3 linked regions of the Cricetulus griseus genome follow. The protein of the gene in region 3 interacts with the protein of the main gene of each other region in a biochemical or structural test. Links are inferred from orthologs where the notes say so. Each region holds a gene or a part of one and is shown on either strand. Other genes may lie near its edges. The genes, in order: Plat, Fam20c and Fga.

Region 1 (7,125 bases), on a different chromosome or scaffold from region 3:
CATTTTTTTAAAGTTTTACAAAATATACCCATGCTATTTTTTTTTGTTTTGTTTTTTTGTTTTTTGCCAGGTTTCCTCCCCAGCATCTTAAAGTGGTCTTGGGCAGAACATACAGGGTGGTGCCTGGAGAGGAGGAGCAGACATTTGAGATCGAAAAATACATAGTCCATGATGAATTTGATTATGACACTTACAACAATGACATTGGTAAAAGGCCATTATATTCACACACCCTTCTTTGTCACCCTGTCCCTCCCCTCACTGAGTCACTCTCTTCTCCTTTCTCTCACTCCCAGCATTACTGCAGCTGAGGTCAGATACCCAACAGTGTGCCCAGGAGAGCAGCTCTGTCAGCACCGCTTGCCTTCCTGACCCCAAGCTGCAGCTTCCTGACTGGACAGAGTGCGAGCTGTCTGGCTATGGCAAGCATGAGGAATGTAAGTGGAAGGAAGTCTTGGTTCCAACCTTATCTATCATGTGGCAGATGGAGGGGAAGTGGTCGCACAATGTTCTGGTCCCAAATGTGGCATGACACGGAAAAACTCAGGTGGAACTCTGCCTGTCTGTATGATGAGAAGCTGCTATCTGCTTCCTTGCATTATGGGGACACTGTGTGTTGGTCACAGGAATTTGGGACAGGCAAGTGCTCTGAAAAGCTTTGTAGTCCAGCGGAGATAGAGAGGGAGGGTGTAAAGGTATGTGTGTTCTTAGACACTGGAGTTGTATAAGTTGAGTTTGTCTCCCAAACTTGCCTCTGGCTTAGCTGTGGGGCCCTGACTGTGTCACTCAGCTTTCTAATGAGGCCAACGAACACGAGATAAATTAACCTAAAGATAGGAAAGCTTTGCTTGTGCTCATGGCTTTGGAAGTTTCAGACCACGGTCAGTTGGCCCAGTCTGTGGGTCTGTGGCAAAGCAATACATCGTAGGAGGTGCCTACAGCCATGGAAATGTGTACCTCGGAGTAACACACAAGCAAAGGGAGAAAAGGGAGAGTCTGGGTCTCAACTCTCTGCCCAACTGTAACTTCCTTCTCCCAGAGCCACTTCCTAAAAGCTCTACCATCTCCAAAGAGCACCACAGGCCTAGCCTTCAGCACACTGGCCTTTGAGGGAATGATTATTCAAGCCGGATGTGTATTTGTGTTACTTAATGAATGGGGTCTCATGGTGTTTCCTACAGTGGTTTCCAACTTGCAATTGCAGTGTCCCAGGATTATAGTGGACCATTAGATTGACCTTAAACACTTTTTAATTTCTTTTAATTACTGAAGCCTCTGTTTCCTCACTGCCAAAGTAGAAACAGGGCAAGCACCCTGATTAAATTATAAGAAGTAAATAATAGAACGCCTGATTAAATCAATGGCTCTCTCTTGGGGTGATTTCACCACCCAGGCCACGATTGGTAGTGTCTGGAATCATTGTGGCCAAGGTGTCACATGTCTGGCAGAAGGCTGATCCTAGCCTTTGGTTAGGAGAGGCTGCCATACATCTGTGGTATACAGGACACTCTTCATGATGGATAACTATCTCGCTTAACTGTCAGTAGTGCTACTGAGAAATGTGACCTCACCCTAGAGAACTGCTGGAGGTCAAAATGGTGAAACGTAGGTCATGTCTTACGTAAAAACCTGATTTAGGTTAACTGTTACTGGAAAATTCAGCTTTCTCTTTCCAAAAGGTTTGGAAGAGATGTCTCCACCCTGAGACATCTGTGCCTTTTCTTTCAGCATCTCCTTTCTTCTCTGATCGGCTGAAGGAAGCCCATGTTAGGCTGTACCCACCGAGCCGCTGTACTTCACAGAATTTGTTTAATAAAACCATCACAAACAATATGCTGTGTGCTGGAGACACCCGAAGTGGAGGCAACCAAAATGTCCATGATGCATGCCAGGTAAACTCGATGGATGTCCCAAGGGCAGGGGGAGTGAGAGCCATGGTGGAGGGTGTGACACTGGGATTCAAAAGTGGAGCTTCGAAGAAGAAAACGACAGAGAAAGGCCAAAGCTCCTTAAATTTAAAACATCTCAATGGCAGCACATTTTCCGGGTTTGTGGCAGGAAACTCCACCTAGTGCAGGATTTCCCTGTAAGTCCCATTGAAATGACAGGTAAAACAACATAATTAAATCTTTGCCTTCTGAAGGTGTTGGAGAACTTGGGCCTGCTTTGCAGGACAAGAAAAGGCATCCCCTTGGGATGCAAGACAAGGATAGGAGGTTGAGAAAGAGTTTCCAAAGTTTAGCTTCAGTTGGGGAAGCAAGGCATTTTAGGTTCTGAGTCCTCACTGGACTTGGAATTCCCATTTCCTGATTACTAAGGAGCTAGGAGGCAAGTACAGAACAACAGCTGACATTGAGACCCAAGTGGTAACCAGCACAGAACAACCGTTGACATTAAGACCCAGATGGTAAACACCTGATTTAAAAAAAAAAGTGAATCATAGTTCACTGAGGCGATACAACTAATTAGTAGAAGAGTCCAAATCAGATTTTTTTTTAAGAGATAAATCTCATTATGTAGTCCTGGCTGGCATGGAACTCTATGTAGAAGAGGCTGGCCTCAGATTCACCGAGAGCTACCTGTCTCTCCCTCCTAAGTGTTAGGGTTAAAGGTGTGCACCACCACGATACCCACTCAAATCAGCTTTTATAAAGCTTGAGAAGTTTTTCTGTTTGTTTCCTGGGTGCTAAGAATGGAGCTCTTGGCTTTTTAACTGCTCTACTGCTAAGCCATACCCCAGCTCTGAACAGTTATCTTAAGTCTGTGTGTTTTGTTTTTTAGTGGATATTTATTTATTTTGAGGCAGAGTCTCATTCATTGTGTGGTCCTGAGTGGCATGGAACCCTATTTGTAGACCATGCTGGCCTTGAACTCAGGAATTCACCTCCTTCTGCCTTTTGAATGCGGGGATTAAAGGCATGTGCCACCATGCCAGGCTCTTAATGCTGCTCTACCAGAATTTAGATACAGCCTAATCTATAGCCTCAAGTCTCCCTCCCTGAACAAAGTTCTTTGAGGGCTACGATCCTCATACTACAAATAGCAATGGAAATTTGCTTCCAAACACTCTGCCATACATACAAACAACTAATCTGTGCTCTTCCACAGGGTGACTCGGGAGGACCACTGGTGTGTATGGTCAATAAACACATGACCTTGGTTGGCATCATCAGCTGGGGCATTGGCTGTGGGCAGAAGGATGTCCCTGGAGTATATACCAAGGTTACTAATTACCTAGACTGGATTCAAGACAACATGAAGCAATGACAAAGACAACCCAGCTCCTTGGATCTGGAGGAGGCCCTGCCTTCCTCTTCTATAGAAGACACACCCAAAAGGCCAAGTGTCCTTTACACTATCATCTTTAGATACTGCTCCTCAGCAGAGGGTTGGAGAGTCTGTAGGAGAGGATATAGCATTTATTTGTGACAGGTACTTCACAATTTGCATGTTTTCAGGGACGAAGGTCTGATTTTTAGAATAAAATCTGTCTGATGAGAAGATGGGAAAATGCCAACCCTCCCACAACTCTGGGATTTAAAAGAAGGGTAGACCAAAGTCCACCCTCCTGGGCCACCATTTTGTACTCTGGACCACAAGACAAAAGATCATGTCTCAACAGTAAAGCCCAGGTTAATCTTTCAGAAGAGAAAGTTTGCATTAGGGATAAGAATGTATATTTATAGTTACAGGAGGGCCCAGCAGGGCCTTTAAGAGACATAAATGTTGGCTGGCTAGATCATAGCCCTATAAGACCTTTGAAATCAAATATTCTCCACCCGCTTCCCACTCCTCAACTCTTGGGAGGTATTCCTTTGTATACAGTGTAAATCTTCTTTTTTTCTTTATAAACTTTATAGATAGTTGAGAGAACTATTTGATTTTAATAATTGAAGTAGCATTAGCATATTTATATATTAATCTATTTTAGTTTTTACCATAACTCTGTATTATATATACTGTACTTAAATAATAAATCCAGAGGTATTTTTCACACTTTTCAAATGGTGTGTATCCATGGCTTATTTGTGTTCACATTCTTTTTTCTTTTGAGTCAGTTGAAAGACTTCCTTTCATTCAGTCAACATGTGGAAATCCTGCTTACCCCCAAGGCAATATGCCAGGTGCCACCAACAGTAGAAATGGGGTGGGGTGAGTTGGCACGGACAAGACGCATTCACAGAAGTAAAGTAGAATGGAGCTGGTCCCAGCACAGCAGAGACCTCATTGGACCTCAGTTGTGAAAGTGGGAAGGGACCATCAGGAAAAGTAGGATTCATAAGGGTTTTCACACAATGGTAAGACGGCGTTAGTAGACAGTTGCAGTCAGGCAAGTCTTGAGACCCAGAATTTCCCTATTGTGACAACAAAGACTTGGCGGCCTAAGAGGCAATAGAGTACAGGGGATGAGCAACAGTTTTTATTGAATGTGGGGGACAGCAGTTGTCCGAGTCCCTGGTGCATGTGTGAAGGTCAGAGGATACCCACAGGAGTTGGTTCTTTGCTTCCACCATATGGATCCTGGGGGTTAGACTCAGGTTATCCAACTTAGTGGCAGGCACCTGCAAACACAGAGCTGGGGATTGAATTTAGGACTTTGGGTGTGCTAAAGAAGTACTCCACTACTGAGCTAGGTATGTCCCCAACCTCACCTGAACTTGATCAGGATTGTAGATTGGATGCTAAGGACTCTGAAAGCCAAAATGAGTGTTTTTCTCCAAGAGGTGATAAATGAAGATGCATCTGGAAAATCAACCACACTTTGACCACAGACTGAGCAGACAGTCGCATGACTCTGTGGACAGTAATTACAGCAACACAGACCAGAAAAACCCCAAACCATCTCTTACTAACATAGCAACGGCTCAACTGATGGCTCACACTAAATGCTACTAACTGGATTGCTTTTTTCCCTCTTCATTCTGTTTTGTTTTCTGCTCCTCAGAAACAGTTATCTCACAGACCAGTGCACACAAGTATGCAGCTTGTGACCTACTGCTCTAGTAACTCCTTTAGTGTGCGTGATGTGGGTCTGGGGGTGTGTCCATACACAGCGCAGGTGTAAAGGTCAGGGGACAACTTTCAGAAGTCATTTCTCCCCTTCCACCATAGGTTGGAGGATCAAGCTACAGGCGCTCTTTGAAAACTGACCTCTTGCTGGCCCTTGCACACTGTCTTACCAGTCATAGAATAAACCTCTCTCCATTGTCTCCAGCTTTCTTCACCACATCTTAGTTCCAAGAATCTCTCATGATGTAATGCTTGCTCTCGGGTGTGGCTGGGTAAAAAAAAATTTTTTTGAAAGAAAGGCCTTTCTTATCTCTTGAGGGTTTGTCAGTACTGCCCTGTTGGAGACTCTTAGAAGAAAAATAGTGTAAACTCACAAAAGAACTTGATGAGGGAGGTGTTGGGAGGTTTCCCGAAATCTATGAAGTCCCCAGACCAGTTCCATCAATATGAATCAGAGACTAAGTCACATATTTCTTGACTTCAGACAAGTCTGCCTTTAGGGTTTGATCTAAGATTTTAGGCAGAAATACATCTCATCCCATTCCAACACAGCTTGAGCCCAGTAGTAAGCAAGGCCCCCACCCCAGTCCTGCGGAGCTGAGCAGCTGGCTTCACCCCTCCCCCACTGAACAAGATTTTCTTCAGACACTAGGGTTAGTGAGATGAAACTGAAGCCGAAAAGCCTTCTGGGATGGGAATACAAAGTCAAAAGGCCCCAACATTCCTGAGTGGAGTCCTGGAAACCATACACAAATGAAGACAATTGCTGACTCTTATGGAGCAGTGTCCAACAAGACAGTCCTATGAATCACACCAAAGGGTCAGAATAGCACATCCCTCCCTGCCCAGGATTGGTTAAGGAATGCAGGGTGCGATGTCTGGAATTCACCAGAGGAAGGGAATGAGTCAAATGGAAAGTAAATGTTGCCCCATTATTCCTGGCTGATTAATAAAAGAGGCCAACAGAACTAAAGAGCAAGTATGGTCCCAGGTAACTGTATGGGTTGCTGTTGTTGTTAAAGAGCAGAGGAACACAGAGCCCTGGTCCTGGCCCCCCAGAGCCCAGCCCTGTACATCAATCACAAAGTGTTAGAGACTTTCAACTCCATATACAAAAGCTGAACACACATTCCTTGATATTTAAGACCTGCTTGGGTTTCTCATTAAATTTCCTTTTTAAAGCCATTAACAATTAGAAACAGTATTGATGGCATCTAGTTACCACCTACTGGCATAAAAGGAAATATAAGTAGATAACATTTCCTGCTGCCAATGCCCCCCCACCCCCCGCCAACCATCCAGACTGAGGCAAGAATACAACAGTCAGTCCTGATCTGGAGGGAACATGCTCCAAGGCCCCAGTGGGTGTCTGAAGACAGACAGCACCTACCCCTACAAAGTCTGTTTCTCCTCCATGTTGTATCCTACAACCAGATTCAGTAAGGCATTAGTGATACTATTGGCAGAGTAGAACCAGTTAGACAGGTGTCTCTTGTCCCAGGGGATCCCTAAGTCCCCATGCAGACTCAGTTCAGCTCAGCAGGGAGGGACAGCAGCGATCAGAAGACTATTTTCTTCACATCTCCCCCAAAGACACTGATGCCTTTGCCATTCACCTCCAAGGCACTGCAGTGTCAGAGCCAAATTGTACTCATTTTCTCCTGCTTAAAGTTTCCGTTAGAAGTATTGTTCTTGCTGAGAGTTCAGCAAACTTCACATAGATTGTTTTTCTTACTGGGAACTTTGAATTTCTCGTGGAGAAGAAGCATTCTCTTTCAACTTTCTTGGTTTTCCTTTGACCTCTCCAGACCTCCTTGGCACTACTATTCTGTGAGTGAGGGTTCCGTGAACACAAAGAGTATGATAGTAAGAGAACTGATTGGGAGTGAAGACGGTCCTTAATGACCAGAAAGCAGTGTAGGCACTGGGCAATGCAAGATTTGTGTCCAGGGAAAGACAGCATCTGATAGGGTGGGATGGATGGAAGTCAGTTAAAGACTTCATCAGGCTACTCGGGATGGTACACAACTTGGATGTTACCCTTTCCTGGAATTTCTCATTTCATATTCTCAGAAAAGTGGGGAGGGTACCATACTAGAGGCTGTCAGAGGAGCC
Region 2 (8,027 bases), on a different chromosome or scaffold from region 3:
GCTGTCCAGTTCTGCTCTTTCCCCTGACTCATATTTACACACTGATGCCTTCTCCACTTATGGGGCTGGTGTCACATGTCTGAACTTTCTGGGCAGCAGGATTTGTGGATCCAGAAAGGAAGCATTCCATCCCTGCTAGCAGGAATCCCTAAAGCCAGGAGGTCAGAATCTTGCAATCAACATTCCCAGCAGGAAGCATGCATGACTTCACCTTGGGGAAAAAGTCACTTTTTACAATGACCTCAAACTCATGTATCACCCCCAGATGCATTCAGGTTTTGCTGCCTGGTAGCTCTTTGACTGAAGTCACCGTGGTTAGTGACTGGTACAGCTGGGATCCCTCAACATTCTGGGAGGCAGTGTCCTTTGTCTGCCTGGGGGATAGCCATCCCCACTCAGCTACCTTCCAACAGTTTCTGGGCACCTGCAGATGAAGGACTCAGCATGTCCACAATGGGAATGGATGAAAACCACTTTAGCCACTGTGTTCCAGCACATCACTGTAGGTTCCATTCAAGCATCCCTTGGCCCAGAAGGGTCAGCAACAGAGCTGCTCATCCTACTGTGATGTCAGGATCTTAGCACCATCGTCTTCCCGAGTAAATCAGATCAAAACAGGGGGCTCAAAGTTAAGCACATGAAGACAGACAGAGGTCCTTGAGATGAGTACAACTACTGGTGAGGCCCTGGAACCCCAGTCTCCCCTGATCTCTGGAGATCCTGGGACAGATCCCATCACCTTTGCATAGAATAGGTATCAGTGAGAATAGGGAATAATAAATTGAAGCACCTGCAAGTGGCTGGCCAGCTGTGGGGATCACTTAGCACTCAACCATCCTAGGCTTGATTTTGCACACTAAGGATGCCACCCTCTTCATTGTTGTACATGTCCCGTACTCCTCAGCTGAATGGTCCACAGAGGCAGCGGTACCTCTGAAAGCTGGTCTCACCAGGTCCTTTCACTTGCTAGGAAATTGCTTCCCCACTGAGCCATGTTCTCAGCCCCTCATTGGAGGATTCTAGGCAGGTGCTCTTTCAGAGGGCCACAACTCTAGTCCCTTACTGGAAGATTCTAGCAGATGCTCTCCTACTAAGCCACATCCCCAGACCCTCACTGGGGGATTCTAGGCAGGTGCTCTACCACTGAGCCACCCCCCAGGTCCTTCTGTGCGGGATTTTACTACTAAGCTACACTCCCAGTCCTCTTTTCAGTTTCTGTCTTAAAAAGGGTCTTGTTAAGTTACCCAGGTTGGCCTTGGCCTTTTGATTTTCCTGTCTCAGCCTCCTGCATAGCTAGATGACAGGCTTCACCTTTATGCCCAGCTTGGGTATTTCTTTAACAGTTACATTATACTCCAAAGAGAAAGGGCATGGATTGTGGCTCCTTTATAACAAAGTCCTTGTGTTAACAAGGACTATTCCCCACTCATCCTGAATCCACAAGGGGCATGGCAGGGTCAGGTGGGGATGCATTCAGACCTCCCTGGCAGGAGGAGGGATGGTGGAAGACCACTAGCTTGCTCTTTTTCACTAAGTGATCTGACCAAACCCTGGGGGAAACTGTGGGTCCTGGCTTTTTTGACCAGGCAAGAGCCCAGCACACAGATCAGCAGAGCCCCAGACACCTCTAAAGAGGTGGTTGCCGCAGGCAGGCAGCTTCTAACTGCTCCATGTCAGCAATTGGCCCAAAGCCCATAACCGGAGGGAGCCTGTTAGCAGATCTGCTTTCAAGACACATGGCAGGCTACCCAAGCACATGCAACTGGGCACACCAGGGCCACCCCTGCACAGCCCCAGCCCTCAGCCTGTCCTATGCCACCTCTTGAGCCACAGTGACTATCGATCACTCACAACCTGATAACAACCCCCAAACCTGCTCAGAAACTGCCCCTGATGTTCTGTTTTCCTGAAATTGAAAACAGGATTTTTTTTTTTTTTGGCTTATTAGATCACGAAAACCCAGAGATGTTCCTTTTAAACTGCTCCATCCAGGATACTCAGGCTTCAACTTGTTCCTCCTTTGACCTGGTGAGATCCTGGGCCCCTACTGAACTCTGAAGGGAACAGGCTCAGAACTTCAGGCCCTTGCTAAACCATGCAATTTAGCTGCCCCTGCAGGAGGGACAAAGATGGCCCATGCATAGATGTTGGCAGGAGGTGCTGCAGCCACTATGGGTCACCAGGTCATTTTTTTTTTTTTTTTTTACAGGGGAGGGAGGGCCCATATGTCTTCATATATAACTCTACCAGGGGTCAAAGTGGTGACCCTCACTTTCCAGCAATGAGCCTTGAGGCATCCATCTGGCTCCTGGATTACCAAGGTGGTCATCTAGATACCCTAGAAAGAGTGGCTCCTTTGTCAGTGAGCGACCTGAAAAGAAGCCAGCTTCACACAGCCCTGGTACATCCACACCAAGGTACATTTGCACCAAGGGCAAGCAGGTGGCTACCTACCGACACTGGTGATCTTCTGAGAGCCAAGGTCCTGCAATAAGGCATCGATGGCCGGGTTGTGTCTGGAGTACAGCTCATACCGGTTGATGCCGATGTGGAATTTGAGCCAGTTAGGATAGAGGTCCACCGCTGCCTCACCAGTAGGCAAGAATTCTGCTCCTTCAGCACCTTCATGTGGCCTGCAAGGAATGAAGGCAGGCTGTAGTCAAGTGTTAAAAGAGAGGCAAGAGGCGGAGGAATGTTGGGGAGCTGGTCCTGAGGGTCAGGGCTTGCGACTTTGGGTTCAAAGTACAGGTTCACTAAAAGCTGCCTTCACACTGCCATGTCTGCACTTTCCTCCCCGGCTGCGGTTCCACCACCTAATAACACACCTTAAGGCCTGTAATTCCTATTTACCTTCTAGAGACGCCACAGACAACCCTAACTACCACTGGCCTAGACCCAGAGTGTCAGCGCTATCCCAACACTTCTGTCCTGGGGTCACCAAAAGTGCCCCCATAACAATGATGTCAGCTGGGAGTGTGTGGGAAGGGACTGTCAGCTTTTCCTGGGACCAGACAGCCTAGAAGTTGTAGGCACACCCAGCCAGCCAGAAACGTCTCCAGCTTGCTGCCTTTGTTCCAAAGACTAGGGGCAGGGATGATGCAAGGGGCTAAATTTGATTTTAATGAGTGAAGCCATAGGTGGGGAGAGCTGGACGGAGGAATCAGTCACTCCAGCCCAGGTTCAGAGGGAAGACCTGCTGCCTGCTTTCTCTGGCCATGGGGTTGTCTCGAAGAAGAACAGACCCTCTGGGAGCCTGCTAGGCTGGAGGGAAAGAAGGGCCGCTTTAGCTCTGCTTCACTGACAGGTGAGGATCCTTCAACTCCAGATTGTCCTACACTAGAAGCAAAAGGAGGACTGGGGTCCTCCAAGAAGCCACACCCTGGCCACTCTTTCCGCTGCCTCTGCTGGATGGTTTCTGGCCAGTACAGCCCAGAAGCCACCAAAGAGCTCATATGTGCAGGCTCAGGGCACAGGGCCTGGTCACATTCCAGGGGGGGAAAGGATTTCTGAGGCTGTTTTGGACGGGTGGCTCGTGCTCTCTCTCTGCTGCTCGGGAACCTTTGCAGGTTATTTGCTCTAGCCAGCTGTTGGTTAATATTTCACTCTGCTGGGCTTATTTGGATCTGTGCAGCTGTGGGGGTGGGGGTGGGCACAAATCTGGACAGCCTGGAAGGTAACTCCAGGATGGCTCATCTTCCTCCCCACAGCTAGTCAGGGTGGCCCTGGTTCACACCCTTGCCAGGAGGCCTCGACACTGCCAACATCACTTCTCAGCTGCTTTCGTCCCCAGTGACTGGGTTTAAAAGACTTATTAGGTACATTCAGGATTTCTGGAGGTGCCCACCCCGAACAGCTCACCCATCGGTCTCAGAGCCAGAGCAGCCCAGCCCCTCCCAGGGGAAGGCAGCTCCCACTCTCCCTGGCTGGCTTTCCCAACATATTCATTCATCTGCTTCCTCAGCCATCGCCAGGGCTGGCCAGCATGCTTCCTTGTAGGTGGAGCACTGGGCTCCCCTGGTTCCTGGTGGACCGCCAGCCTCCCACACCAGGGTACTGGGGGCCTCCCAAACCCCATCAGCCCTTCTCCCTAGGAAATCATTGTGGAGACAAAGGCAGGGCCCAGAGCAAGAAGCGCATCTGCCCCGCCCACCAGGCGTCCCTACCCAGCCTCCTCTCAGGGTCCCCAACGATACACAAAATGCTTGGCCTGTAAAATAGCTTTCTAAGGGGGTGTCTTTATTCCCGGAAGGGTCGGGCGCGCCAGCCCCACCCCAGCCTCCCATTCTCTGCTCACCAGTCTGGATTCTCTGCTGCTGCCTTGGGGTTAAACCTGATGTCGCTGTTCACATTAAACAGGACGTCGTCCTCTGTAAGAGGAGGCACAGCCCCCTGGTAGAGTGGGTGCTCAAACAACTTGGCTAAGAGCGATCGGTCCCCGCTGGGGCCAGGGGGCGGTACCCGTGGCCGGGGCCCAGGGTCTCGAAGTAGCGGCCGATGCGCAGGGTCACGGGGTGGCGGGGAGCCCGGCTCCTGACTCGGTGGAGTATGATCAACTGGCTCCGCTGCGGGAGGCAGTTTCTCCAAAGAGTGGGAGGTTAGGTTAGAGGCTGGATCTGAGCTGAAGTCTTGCAGGATGCGCAGTGTGTGTTTGTTGGGCCAGCCTGCGTCGCCACCGGCGGACTCTCCCGGGCGGCTCCTCGCCTGGGCCCAGCCTGGGCCAGCTGCCTCTGCCGCCGGCTGAGCGCAGGAGCAGCCGGGCTCCCCGGAGGATCGCGCAGCGCGCCGGTCCAGCTTGGGTAGCAGATCAACAGCAATGTGCAAAGCGCAAGCCAGTAAGAACACCACCAGGATGAGCACTCGAAACCTGCGCACCAGGATCATCTTCATGGCCACGCAGGCCAGCGGGCTCGGGGGGTTCCGGACGCGCGCTCCACCGGTGCCCCTCAGCTTGGCACCAAGCCGGCAACGACTCACGGGTCAAGGTCCATTCAGCGTACGAGCAGCTACCAGCTCGGGGGCTGTCCCCAGGCTCGGACGTCGTGGAGGACACCCGCCACAAAAGCACCGGCTCTCCAGGCCATCTCGGGGGGCATCCAGCGGCCCTGGTCGGTGGAGCTGGTGGCAGTGATGACAGGGAACACAGCAGCGGACGAGGGTCTCTGGGACGGCGACCACACTCATTGGGTGTGTAGGCAGAAGGCGCGGCTATTCATCCCCGGCCGAGGCGCGACGGATCCTATCCAGAGGGCAATGCTCCCGCTGGGCCACTCTGGGTGCTGGGCGGGGGACAAGGCAGCTCCTCCGTCAGGCTGCGGCTAGGAGGCCGGGCTGGAGAGACAGGGTCGAGAAGGGGAGCGCGCGGGGGCGCGCGGGGCGAAGCCGCGATCTGGCAGGTGCAGCGGGCCGACCCGGAGCGCAGCGCCCACACGGCGGAGCTCCAGTCGCCCCGCGCCTGGCCCGCTGATATCCGAGCGCCGCGGAGCCGCCCCCCGCGTCAGCGCCCGCAGATTGGCGGAGCCGCGGCCCGCCGGCCGGCGGCGCTCGCCCGCTCTCCGCTCTCTCCTCCCCTCGGCCGCGCCCCGCGGTGTCGTCGCGCCTCCTCGGTGCTGAGCCTGGAGCTCCAGAGGCCCGGCCGGGAGCCCGCAGCCAAAGCGGGCTCTGGCTTTGCGCGCACGGCTGTCGGCCTGGTCGCCTGCGTCCCCGAAGCTCTGCGCGCCGCCCGCTGCAACCGAGCGGCTCCTCCCCGGCGAGTGGAGGCCAGAAAGCAGGCCAAGTCCCTCCCCGGAGCCCGCGGGGCGTCTGCGCGGCCGGACGAGCTCCCCTCCGGGCGGTGTCCTGGCACCTCGGTCCCCGCAGCTGGCTAAGTGGAGGACGAAGGGGCGACGTTGCCACGCGGCGGAGAAAACGGCGGGGGAGCGCGTTGAGCCCCAATCCGAGGGGACGCCAGAATCGCGGCAAGACTGCCGGGCCCACCCCACCCCAGGGGACACGCCTGCGCCTTAACCCTGGCAGCGCCGCGCCCGGTCTGGCTGAGAGGCTTGGATGCGCGGGCGGTGGGCGGGGCGCGTCTCGCTGCCTGCCCTCTGGGATGCTAAATCGGGGTGCACATTTTGGGGAGATCTGCTTCTACCACGTGGTCTCATCTGTCGCCACGAGGCTTCTGGTCCCCAGCCCCCAGTAGGAAATAGAAATCCATGGGAATTTCCGCCTAAAATTCTGGGAAGGTAAGCGGGAGAGGGTCACACACAGATGCACAGGCTGAGCTCCCGGCTTCAAGCACCTGCAGATTGCCACACCAGCCCAACCCAGCTGCCTCTGTAAGGGACCGAGGGGCGGAGCCTGTCCGCTGGGAGCCCCTCTTTGTCATGCTCTCCTGGCTGTGCTCCCAGGCCCTCTAATGCTCGGAGTGAGCCTGAGATCTCTGTGAATCGAGTGCACAGCATATGGTATTTCTGAAGATTCAACGATGAGTCTGTGGTAGCCGATATTCAGAAGTTGCCCACTAGCTTCTTGTTAGTGAGGAAGAGGGTCGCAGCCAGCTAGCTGGTCAGCAAAAGTGCCTCCTAGGCCATTAGAAAGGGAGAGAGGTGGTGTGTTCCATACTCCTGTAACAGGAGCTGATGCCTGTGCTGGACTACATAGGGGAAACGCCAAGAGTGCAGTGGGTGGGGCCTAAACAGAAGTGCACCCCCAGGAAGGTATGGCTTACACCAAGGAAATTGAGACACTGCATTCAGCTTTCCTTCCACTCACACGGACAATGAGTTTGTGTAGATCAATTCCAGAATGGGAAAGTTGGTGGTTGGTGGTCCTGAGGTCTCTGGAAGGAAGCACCCCAACCTAGGACCTCTGGGGATAGGTGAATGTCCTCAGGGCAGAGGAATGGGGGCACCAGTGTGAGGGCCTCCCTGGTTTCTCCTGGTGTCCTGGATACTCCATTCACTACAGCTGTGTGGTTCCCTCAGGGAATTCCTGGCTCTCTGGCTCCTACTGTAGGGAAGTAGGATGTAGTAGCCTGTGTATGCAGTGGGCCTGCCTGCTGTTTTTTTTTTTTTTGCAGCAACACCTGTTGCTGCTGTCTACTAACAGGCTTCCCTTTAGTTACTCTCTGCCCTTCCTCTCCCCAAGATGCATGCACTTCTTGGAGGGTCTCCGAAGAGATTTAGCTCTCATGGCTCCACCCAGAGGCCCCAGGAAGGTCAAGGTGACTCATGCAGAAGAGGTCTCTGAAGGCACAGTCCTCCTACAGAGGAAGGCATGACACACTGTGCCCCAGCTACTCTGAGCTGAGGAGGAATTTAACACAGACACTCACAGATGACACACATGGGGAAACACAAGGGAAAACAATGACATAGATACACAAGCACACAATTGCACACAGACATACTGATTCAGACACATAGACACAGGTGACACATGGGAAACCCAAGGAAAAACAGTGATACACAGACACACAGGTGCACATAGACATACACAGACATGGGCATACAAACCCAGGTGACACACAGATACAAACATGGGAACACATACACACACACACACACATACACACACACACACACACACACACACACACACTCTAAAGGAAACAGAACCTCATAAAGCCTCTACCTTATGGCTGTCTGTGCACATGCCCCACCAGGCTAGGTGGCGCTGCCCACGGAGGACCTTGATGATGGCATGCAGCCCCTGCCAGAACCTAGGAGGTGGCTCTAGAGCATTTTATTAGGGTGGCATAGAAGCCCCTGAGACAGCACATGGGAATGACCCTCTTGGCAGTCTGCAATGGTACTCATGCAAGGATTCCTATGCAAAGGCCCTGGGGCACACCAGAGCAAGGAGACTCACAGAGCTTGTGTTGGGTGAGGGGTGTGAGTGAGGGCAAGAGGGAGACTGAGGCAGTGACAGTGTGTGTGTGAGGGCAAGGTGGTCTCTTGGGAGGCCCACAGGTGACTGCCAAACAGTGAATTATGTCTCAAGTGAGGCAGGCCATGGGAAGATCTAGGCTATCCAGGCACAGACGG
Region 3 (8,027 bases):
CTCCTGAAGTTGGCTCTTGAAACTTCCGGGAATCAAGTCAGGAACTGGAGACATTTTTATTGCTGGCAAGTACTGCCTGTCTTTTGAAGGAAGCAAGTCTTTAGCAATGACCTGTTCAAGCTGCTTTTGCTGACCTTCATAGTCCCTTAGATCTATCTCACGGGCTACACCCCTGCTGCAGGACCCTTTGCAAGAGCGGATCTTGATATCAATGTCCACCTAAAGAGAGGAAGAAAGAGAAATGAATTATGCCTATTGAGATAGCTGAGTATCTGGTAATTGGTTTACATTTTGGAAATGGGTTTCACTTCTTTGACTACTAGAAAAATCAGTCCTACACTTTGTCTTTCACTTATCATGGTATCCTCACTGGCAGCTGTGTAGGGCCAGGGAGGTTATGCAGTGGGAGTTATTTGGATCCATTTTAGAATTTGAATGGGGAAAAAGAAAGACACAAATCTCTGTGAATGGAAGCTCTCAGTAAAGAGCCTCCAAGATGTGGAAGCCAAGGTGTCAGCATGTGGTGGGCAGACTGGAGAGAGTGTTCTTCTGAAATATACTGTTTTCCCTTCAAGAATTTCCTTCACATCTCTGTACTTCTGTCTTCTCCTCTGTGGCGGGAGACACTTTTATTTTGGGTGATAATGAACTTAGTTGACACTCAGAAGACTAGTGTCTTCCTTTTCTTTCTTAGTCAAAGACAAAGTGGTTGGTGCCAGGGTCTCATGCCTACCTCCAGGCGCTTCATGTCTATCAGCTGAGTCCTGACATTGTTCTGCAGAACTTGAATTTGTTGTGCTTTTTCTACAACTTTTCGCTTCAGGACCTCAATTCTGCGTCTCAGCTCTTCTGACACTTGGCCATATGTGTTATCAAAGTCTGAAACAGAAAATTCAGTGTATTCAACTGGCTGCAGACTGATTTGCTTAACCTCCTCCCCACCAAAGGAAATTGCTTATAAATATTTCCACACTTTACTTCTTTATAGTCTGTTCTCTGGATGTGCAATCTGCAAGTTTCAGGCTTAATTGGGTTGTTCCATACAAAAGCCATCCGTGGGTATTAGTCAAACTGTCCCACTCGTGACTAGAAATCCGGAAGAAAATACTTTGGAGTTTTAAAACTGAGGTTCTGTAAGTAGTGAGTTTGATTTGATTGAAACTTCATTCAAGGGACTTGAATCTATTATTAGATATTTCTGTTGAGATTTTCATTCCACCTGGAACTTTGAAATCATTTCTAAACATTTTGGGCATTACCAGGATCAGTCACCTGCCAGCTAGTGCTGCACCGTTGATATTACATTTTTCTGTGTTTCATAAAGACAGAAGGAGGCAAACAAGGCCACAAGAACTGGGACTCCCATGGACTTGCTCTCCGTGCTTAGAGTGACCACAGTACTTCCTAGCCCTGGTAAGTCCCAGGGGAAGACTGAGCATGGTCCTGTGTTTCAAATCTTAGTATATAATTGGCTCAGCAGAATCTGGAGCAGATGTTTACCTTGTGACTTTGAGAAGTCCCTTGACCTCTGAGACTCCTTTCCTCGTCTGTAGGCCACAAGCAGAGTATCTACTTGAATGGTCTACCTCTCCTTACTTTCAATATATGGGAAGTTAAAAATCTAAGCTAACTTCTCTGATTGTGGAAATGATGTACACCACCTTCAATTTAAGTGGCTTCCATGCTGAGTACTTTGGAATGGAAATCACAGTAGCTGAAGGAAAATGTTATCATTGGGGATTTTTGTTCTTGTTTTTGCTAGAAAGTCTGAGAACCAAATATGTACTACTCACTGTTGGCATTGGCGAAGTCTCCTCTCAAATACTCCATAATATTCCTGGTCAGCGAATTAGAATCCTTGTTGTTCTTTTGAAAATCAAATAGTGAGTTTTTAAGCTTGTTTATTCTGTTGATAAAATCTCGATTGACTTCATCAATCAGCCCTTGCATCCTGCAGCCAGAAGGGCATTTGTGGTTCTGAAAATGAAGGACAGGGGATTATATGAAAGGTCTCTCTCTTAGCTACTAGTAAGTTTTGTTAAAACATTACCTGAAGCTTCCCCTCCCCAGCTCTTCCAAGTATCCACTAACTTAAAAGTAGCTCGAAGGACTAGTAAAGAGGCCATAGGGAAATTCCAGAATGAAGGTCCACTTAGTCTTGCTCAAGGATCTGGGAATTTTCAAGTCCCACTATTCAGGCATCCAGTTTGTTTATCCCACTAGAGATAACTAGATAATGCTTTAGGACTAATTTTCTTTCTATTTTCTCTCTCTAATTTGGCATGTAAGGAGCTAGGTTACCCTTACATTATCTCTGATGGGGAAAGGTTTCCAGAACTCACTTAGTGAGCCTGTAGCTATTTGTCCCACAAGGAAGGAACCCTGCTCACCATACTCTCTGCTTACCCAATCTTCGTCAGAGCAGAAGGGCCAGTCTGTCTCTCTGCATTGGCTCTGCTGTTTCTCCACAACTCTTGGGCCACGCCCTGTTGCTCCTTCTTCTATAAATTCACCCCCAGTGTCTGAGGCCTTCAAGGAAACATCCAAAAAGGAGCAGAGGCAGCAATGTTAGCCATTATGATGTTGTTTATGGAAACATTAATGATGTCCACATGCCCAAGGAAGAAAAAGCAGAGGTAAAAGTCAAAGCCGTCTGCCTCCTCAGCCTGTCATCTTCTGACAATTAAATGAAAATTCTACTTATTCTACAGAGTCATTATGAGCTGTAAAGGAGACACAGGCTGTGAACTGTTTTTAAAATTGTATTGATGCTCAATAAGCACCTGCTAAATGTCAGGGGTTTAAAACAAAAAAAATGATCTGGATTAACAAAATCAGTTAAATTTCATCATTTTCTTTCCTTTCATGGCCATAGATGAAAAATTATAGTTCTTTCTCCTGTAAGTCTTCTTTCTGCATGTCTGTCCTCTTGCACTTGTTCTCCCTTTCTTTATCAGGTTTCTATGGTAACCTTTGGAGATGGTCCATGATTCAGACAAGCATTTATCAAGAACACAAGTGTAGGAAGTTAAAACTTGGCAGTGTTTTGAACTACAATCATGCAATTGTAGATTTCCATTCAAAATGAAAATAATAAACAGTTAAAGCAGTAGTCAGCAACTACCAATTATTGAACACCTTATAATTAGAAATACAGGGTTAAAAATTCTCAGCTATAAGCCAGATGAACTAAAAAACATTTTGTTCAACAAGAATTCATGGTTTAATGGATGAACATGGCTTTTAGGCTTTCATTGTTTTCAGTCTGTACTACTAACTTCCAAGAGTTTTACTGTCACTAGTTTGGGGTAGTTCATCCTATAATTAAGTCAATGCAGTCTCATTCTCATTTGTGAAAATTCAAATAACCCTAATTATCATAATTAAAGGAATGAACAATTCATTTAAAAGAACAAGTGGAATCCTTTTGTATAAGAACTATAATGGTAAATTCAATTGCATTTCAGAATAAAATAATGCAACAATAAAGCAGACAGAAATTGAATAAACCAACAAGAGTTAAGGAAAATAATAGAGCTATGAATTATCCAGAAACATCACCTTAGCTGGTGATTTTAGTTTTATTCCCACAAAAATGTTTTATTCTTACTCTCTGATTTCAAGATGTATGAATGGTGAGCCAAGAAGGCAACCAAAGTAATATGTACCCTGGGTAACTAAGTAGGGTGTTACTGAGTTTCTTGGACATAATTGACATGTTTCATAAATTATAATGCTTCCAAAGCCCTGCTGTTTTGGGTTTCTTTATTTTATATGTCTTTAAGTTTGAAATTATTTCAGTATTTAGAGATTATCCAAAAAAAAAGCACAAATCTTTCCGAAGAACACACTGCCTCACAACTAACTCCTTCTGAATTTTCTGTGTGTTTTCAAAGGTAATACATTTGCCTTTTACATTTTATGTCTTCAAAAAGATAGAAAAACTACCTTTAGGGCTGGGGATGTAGCTCAATGGGAGAATGTGTGTTAGCATCTAGAAAGTTCTGGACTCAGTCCTCAACATTACGAAAACCTACAGAACAGCTATACCAAACCTAAAACATGCTGTTTATCATAGACAAACAGCCAGAAATGACAAGTTAGAGAACAATTCCTACCAAATGATTTGTTCTGTTAGTATGATGTCTACAGACTTCAGAGGGAAAAAGGTGTGGGGACATTCACCAGGCTGGCAATCTGGCAACGTAGCTCCACTGTAGAAAGCTTTCCTGTCATGCCCAGACACTAAATAGATCCCGAGCACCATGAAAACATATAACAAACAAAAGTGCCATGTTGGAAGATGAAATCTCACAAATGAGTCAGCCTGTGTGACAGATGTCAGGTTCCCTTGATGATGTTTTCACTATGCCCTCCTATGGCCTTCCTCAACATCACAGGACCCTGTGTAGTTGTCAAGCCTATCTAGGCATTTGCCTCCATGGCCTGGCATTTATAGAGAGGGTAGAATGAAGACCTGGTATATAATAGTCTAACTAATGTAATAGACCTGGTAGACTCCAAACTCAAAGCTACTTGTAGGAGAAATACCAGACAATGACAGAAGAGAAAGTACATACCCAGACAGTGCTGGCCACACTCAGGATGAGGCAGGTGACCTTCAGGGAAAGCATCTTTTCTTAGTATGAGGATGGCTCATGAGGAGCACTGCAGCTGAAAGAAAGGAGGAATGACTCTACTCTTAGCTCCCATCCTACTTAAATCTGCAGGAGACTGGGTTAATCATCACCTTTGTCCTACTCAAAGAGCCAAAGCTCACATGGCATCCTTTGCTCTGACCATAATGTTGGTATCCCGGAAATTCTTGCTCAATTCTCTGTAGCTTGTTTGCTTCTGATAAGTTGTTGCAAATGGTAGCATTTGATTGTGCAGCCAGCAGTTGGGGGAAGATTCCACATTCCAGGAAGTGGGGGGACTTTGAGGGTACAAAGATGAATCATTTCCACACCCAAAGGAAGGTGAGGGTTTCTAGGGCATTCTGGCTGTCACTTCTGTGAAGGAGAGATTTAACCAATGACATTTGACTGTGTGTGTAGGATTCAGAGTTCATCCTACTTTCAAAACGACTTGAAAGCTTACAGTAAGCTTATGTTAAACAGATGGTTTTCCTCCATTCAAGTGTCAAAACAGCAGCCACTGGGGCCAAACACCTACCTCCACAATCCTAGCTCCATTTTCCTGGCTCTGTGCTTGTATGAAGTTTACTTTTCATCCTTGTGAATCAGTGTCCTCATTTAAAGAATGAGGGCAATGGCAACCTACTACATGTTAATAAATTAATGGGTGAATTATCTCAAGGCCTTCAGAGTAGTGGTCACCACCACTGCCTGGTAGTAAGTGGTAGCCATCAGTGAAGAACAGAAATGCTGTGGAAAGTGCTCTTTCTTTCCTCATTTTTGTCTTTGGGCATGGACTCTCTTCATTTGCTCTTCATCTCCATATCCAGTTCTCAGTAAAACTGCCGTATGACCCACCTACCCACTTCTATCCTCCCCCTAAAGCACTAGCTGGATTTTGAACAGATTTTTGCTGCATTATTCACAATTACACACTAGGGAAGCAGCTTAATACCCCTCAATATATGAATGGATAAAGAAAAGGGTAAATACAAGAAATTATTGTTCAGCTGGTGAAAAGAAGAGAAACCTGTCTTTGGGGAAATATGCTAAGTGAAAGAATGAAAGGTTCAGGCATTATGCTGGCCTGCCCCTGTTACCTGGTTGAACAGGCAATACCCTGGTCAGCCCAAGGTTCCATGGGAACTAGGTCTGCTCGCAGGTGCAGAGGACCCCTTTAAAAGATAGGCCCCTGCCCATTTACTCTCTCTGTATGCTCTGTTCCCCTCTCTCTTCCCCCCCTCCCCGCTCTGTCTCTCTATGGTGACCAGCCCTGGCGGTCAGTCATTTACCCTGTTCCTCTTCTTAGTTTCCTCATTCTGACGGGCCTTATAATAAACTTATAGTCTTATGGTCTCATGTCTCAGCATTTCTCTTTTCTTCCTTTTAAGCAAAACAATAACAAAGAAACTAAACAGACATGATTTCACTTCTGTGTGAAACCTGAAATGGGGAACCCGGAGATGGGTCCACAGTATTGGTGAGGAGATGAAAAATGGGGGAAATAAGAAAAGAAGGAAAGGAAAAGATAATCAAATGAGTGAATACATATGCTAATTATCTCAAAGGGGAATTATTTCACAATTTTTACCTATCAGTCATGATTCAATAAAGTTAACAGAAGCCTTTGACTTAAGTTTGTTATATTTAGTAATAAAAACTGAGAATGGCTAGTTAAGTTTGAATCTCAGACAGACAAACAGTGTATCTTTTGCAATATATGTATGTCTTCTGTAATATTTGGAACATACTCTTACTGGAATGCTATTGCTATACTTGTGAAATTCAAACTTAACGGGGCATCCCATTGGCTGGCAAGCAGTCCTACTTAGTCTGATCCTGCTTGCTCTGTAAAGCCACTCCTGGAAATAGCAGTCACTAATGTTTATTGAGTGCCTAGCTTACTGAGCTCCAAGTGTTTGGGGGACATTCTATGGAGTCCTGTTTTAATACTCAAATAAATGTAGTCCCTTGTTCCTTTATCTTTTCTTATACGAGTTATCACTGTGGCCTTTATAACTATAGAGGTATTAATTATCTTTTCCACTAGATCACAAACTGAAAAATCAAAATATTTTGCTTGTTTTTATAGTTTCTCAAAAAAGGTACAGATCGTCATTGAGCAAGCAAGCATGAATGTGTTCCTCTGTTGCAAACAGAGCAGCTCAGGTATGTGAAGCTTGCTACAGACAGATCAAAGCTCTCCTGGAGGCAATGTCTGAGGCAAGTTCCTCAGCTTTTTCAAGTCAGCTTCAGAGCTCAGAGGAAATCCTAGAGCCCATTGAGATTCCAGACAACAGTGATTCCTCGGGAAGCTGGTAAACATTCACCCACAGATACTATATCATCAAAATGCCAGGCACGACAGGGACAGGAAACCCCCTCAAAAGTTGCCCTAGGCCTGCAGGAAGCTCCTTTCAGGTAAATAAACAATAAATTAATAATAATAATAATAAATAACAATAAATAAATAATCTTCCTGAAAGCAGACTAACAGAGACAATTTCATTGAAAGCCATCATTGTGGAGCCTGTGGAAGCATTTCCAAGGATGTCACCTGAGGACTGTGTCCTTGCTGTTCCATGGTCCCCTGGAGTGTCTGCATATCTCACTTCCTAACTCTATCCCAGCATGTGTTCAAAAGGCACTTCCTCCTCCCCTTCCTCCTCTCCTCCTCTTTCCTTGTCCCCCCTCACTTCCCCCCACTCCTCCTTTCCCTCTTCCTTCTCTGATCACTTCACCTGAGGAGTAGCCACCCTAAAGTGCTTTCCCACAGCCCTGCATTGCTTTTCTTCATGGTACTTTATCACATTAGACAGCAGAGCAGCACCAGATGGTGGAGAGTGATACCGAACAATTGCAGCAGCATCCTTAGAAATGGCACCTTTAATTGTTCTAGAAGATCCAATAGTCTGTAATCAAAATGTCCTCATTTTCTCTCTAGTCCAAGGTTCCTCAAATAGGCACTTGGGTGGGCCTCCTTGGCCTGGTTCTTTATTATTCAGGGGTGTTTTTCTACCATATCACACTTCCTGTGACATTAAAATCATGCAGGTTCACAGGGTACAAATAACACAATAGTTATCACTTCAAAGAGCATATGACAAGACGGATAGTTTTCTAACTGCAAAAAAATAAATCAGAGAAATTTTCTGTGGCATAATTCTAATAGCTTTCTCCCTAGAAATTCACGCTGTTTTTCTTAGTCCTGTGGGAAATATTTGATTTAGATCCCTTTTTACAGCTAGCAACATTCTACCAGTTACAAATAACCAAAAGCAAGAATTTATAAGCTTGATGGGAATTCATATCCTGCATCATAAAAATCTATATGAATATGTACATTTACTTTTTACCAGGAGATACTTGGCTAAAACAACTGGAAAGTAT

Evidence for each region.
Region 1: the proteins of Fga (region 3) and Plat form a complex in vitro, tested with the Homo sapiens proteins (2 studies listed by BioGRID). The link is inferred for Cricetulus griseus from reciprocal best matches to the Homo sapiens genes FGA and PLAT.
Region 2: of the proteins of Fga (region 3) and Fam20c, one has a biochemical effect on the other in vitro, tested with the Homo sapiens proteins (2 studies listed by IntAct). The link is inferred for Cricetulus griseus from reciprocal best matches to the Homo sapiens genes FGA and FAM20C.

Annotation. Positions count from the first base shown.
Region 1 is NW_023276807.1:60,916,422-60,923,546, reverse strand, and holds the end of Plat (tissue-type plasminogen activator), read left to right. Parts: intron 1-70; coding exon 71-207; intron 208-296; coding exon 297-437; intron 438-1,728; coding exon 1,729-1,892; intron 1,893-3,108; coding exon 3,109-3,267; 3' UTR 3,268-4,005; downstream 4,006-7,125. UniProt on the Homo sapiens protein: Converts the abundant, but inactive, zymogen plasminogen to plasmin by hydrolyzing a single Arg-Val bond in plasminogen.
Region 2 is NC_048597.1:75,421,131-75,429,157, reverse strand, and holds the start of Fam20c (extracellular serine/threonine protein kinase FAM20C), read right to left. Parts: upstream 4,888-8,027; coding exon 4,295-4,887; intron 2,634-4,294; coding exon 2,455-2,633; intron 1-2,454. UniProt on the Homo sapiens protein: Golgi serine/threonine protein kinase that phosphorylates secretory pathway proteins within Ser-x-Glu/pSer motifs and plays a key role in biomineralization of bones and teeth.
Region 3 is NW_023276806.1:71,311,464-71,319,490, forward strand, and holds the start of Fga (fibrinogen alpha chain), read right to left. Parts: upstream 4,635-8,027; coding exon 4,581-4,634; intron 2,530-4,580; coding exon 2,407-2,529; intron 1,978-2,406; coding exon 1,794-1,977; intron 880-1,793; coding exon 734-879; intron 220-733; coding exon 1-219. UniProt on the Homo sapiens protein: Cleaved by the protease thrombin to yield monomers which, together with fibrinogen beta (FGB) and fibrinogen gamma (FGG), polymerize to form an insoluble fibrin matrix. Fibrin has a major function in hemostasis as one of the primary components of blood clots.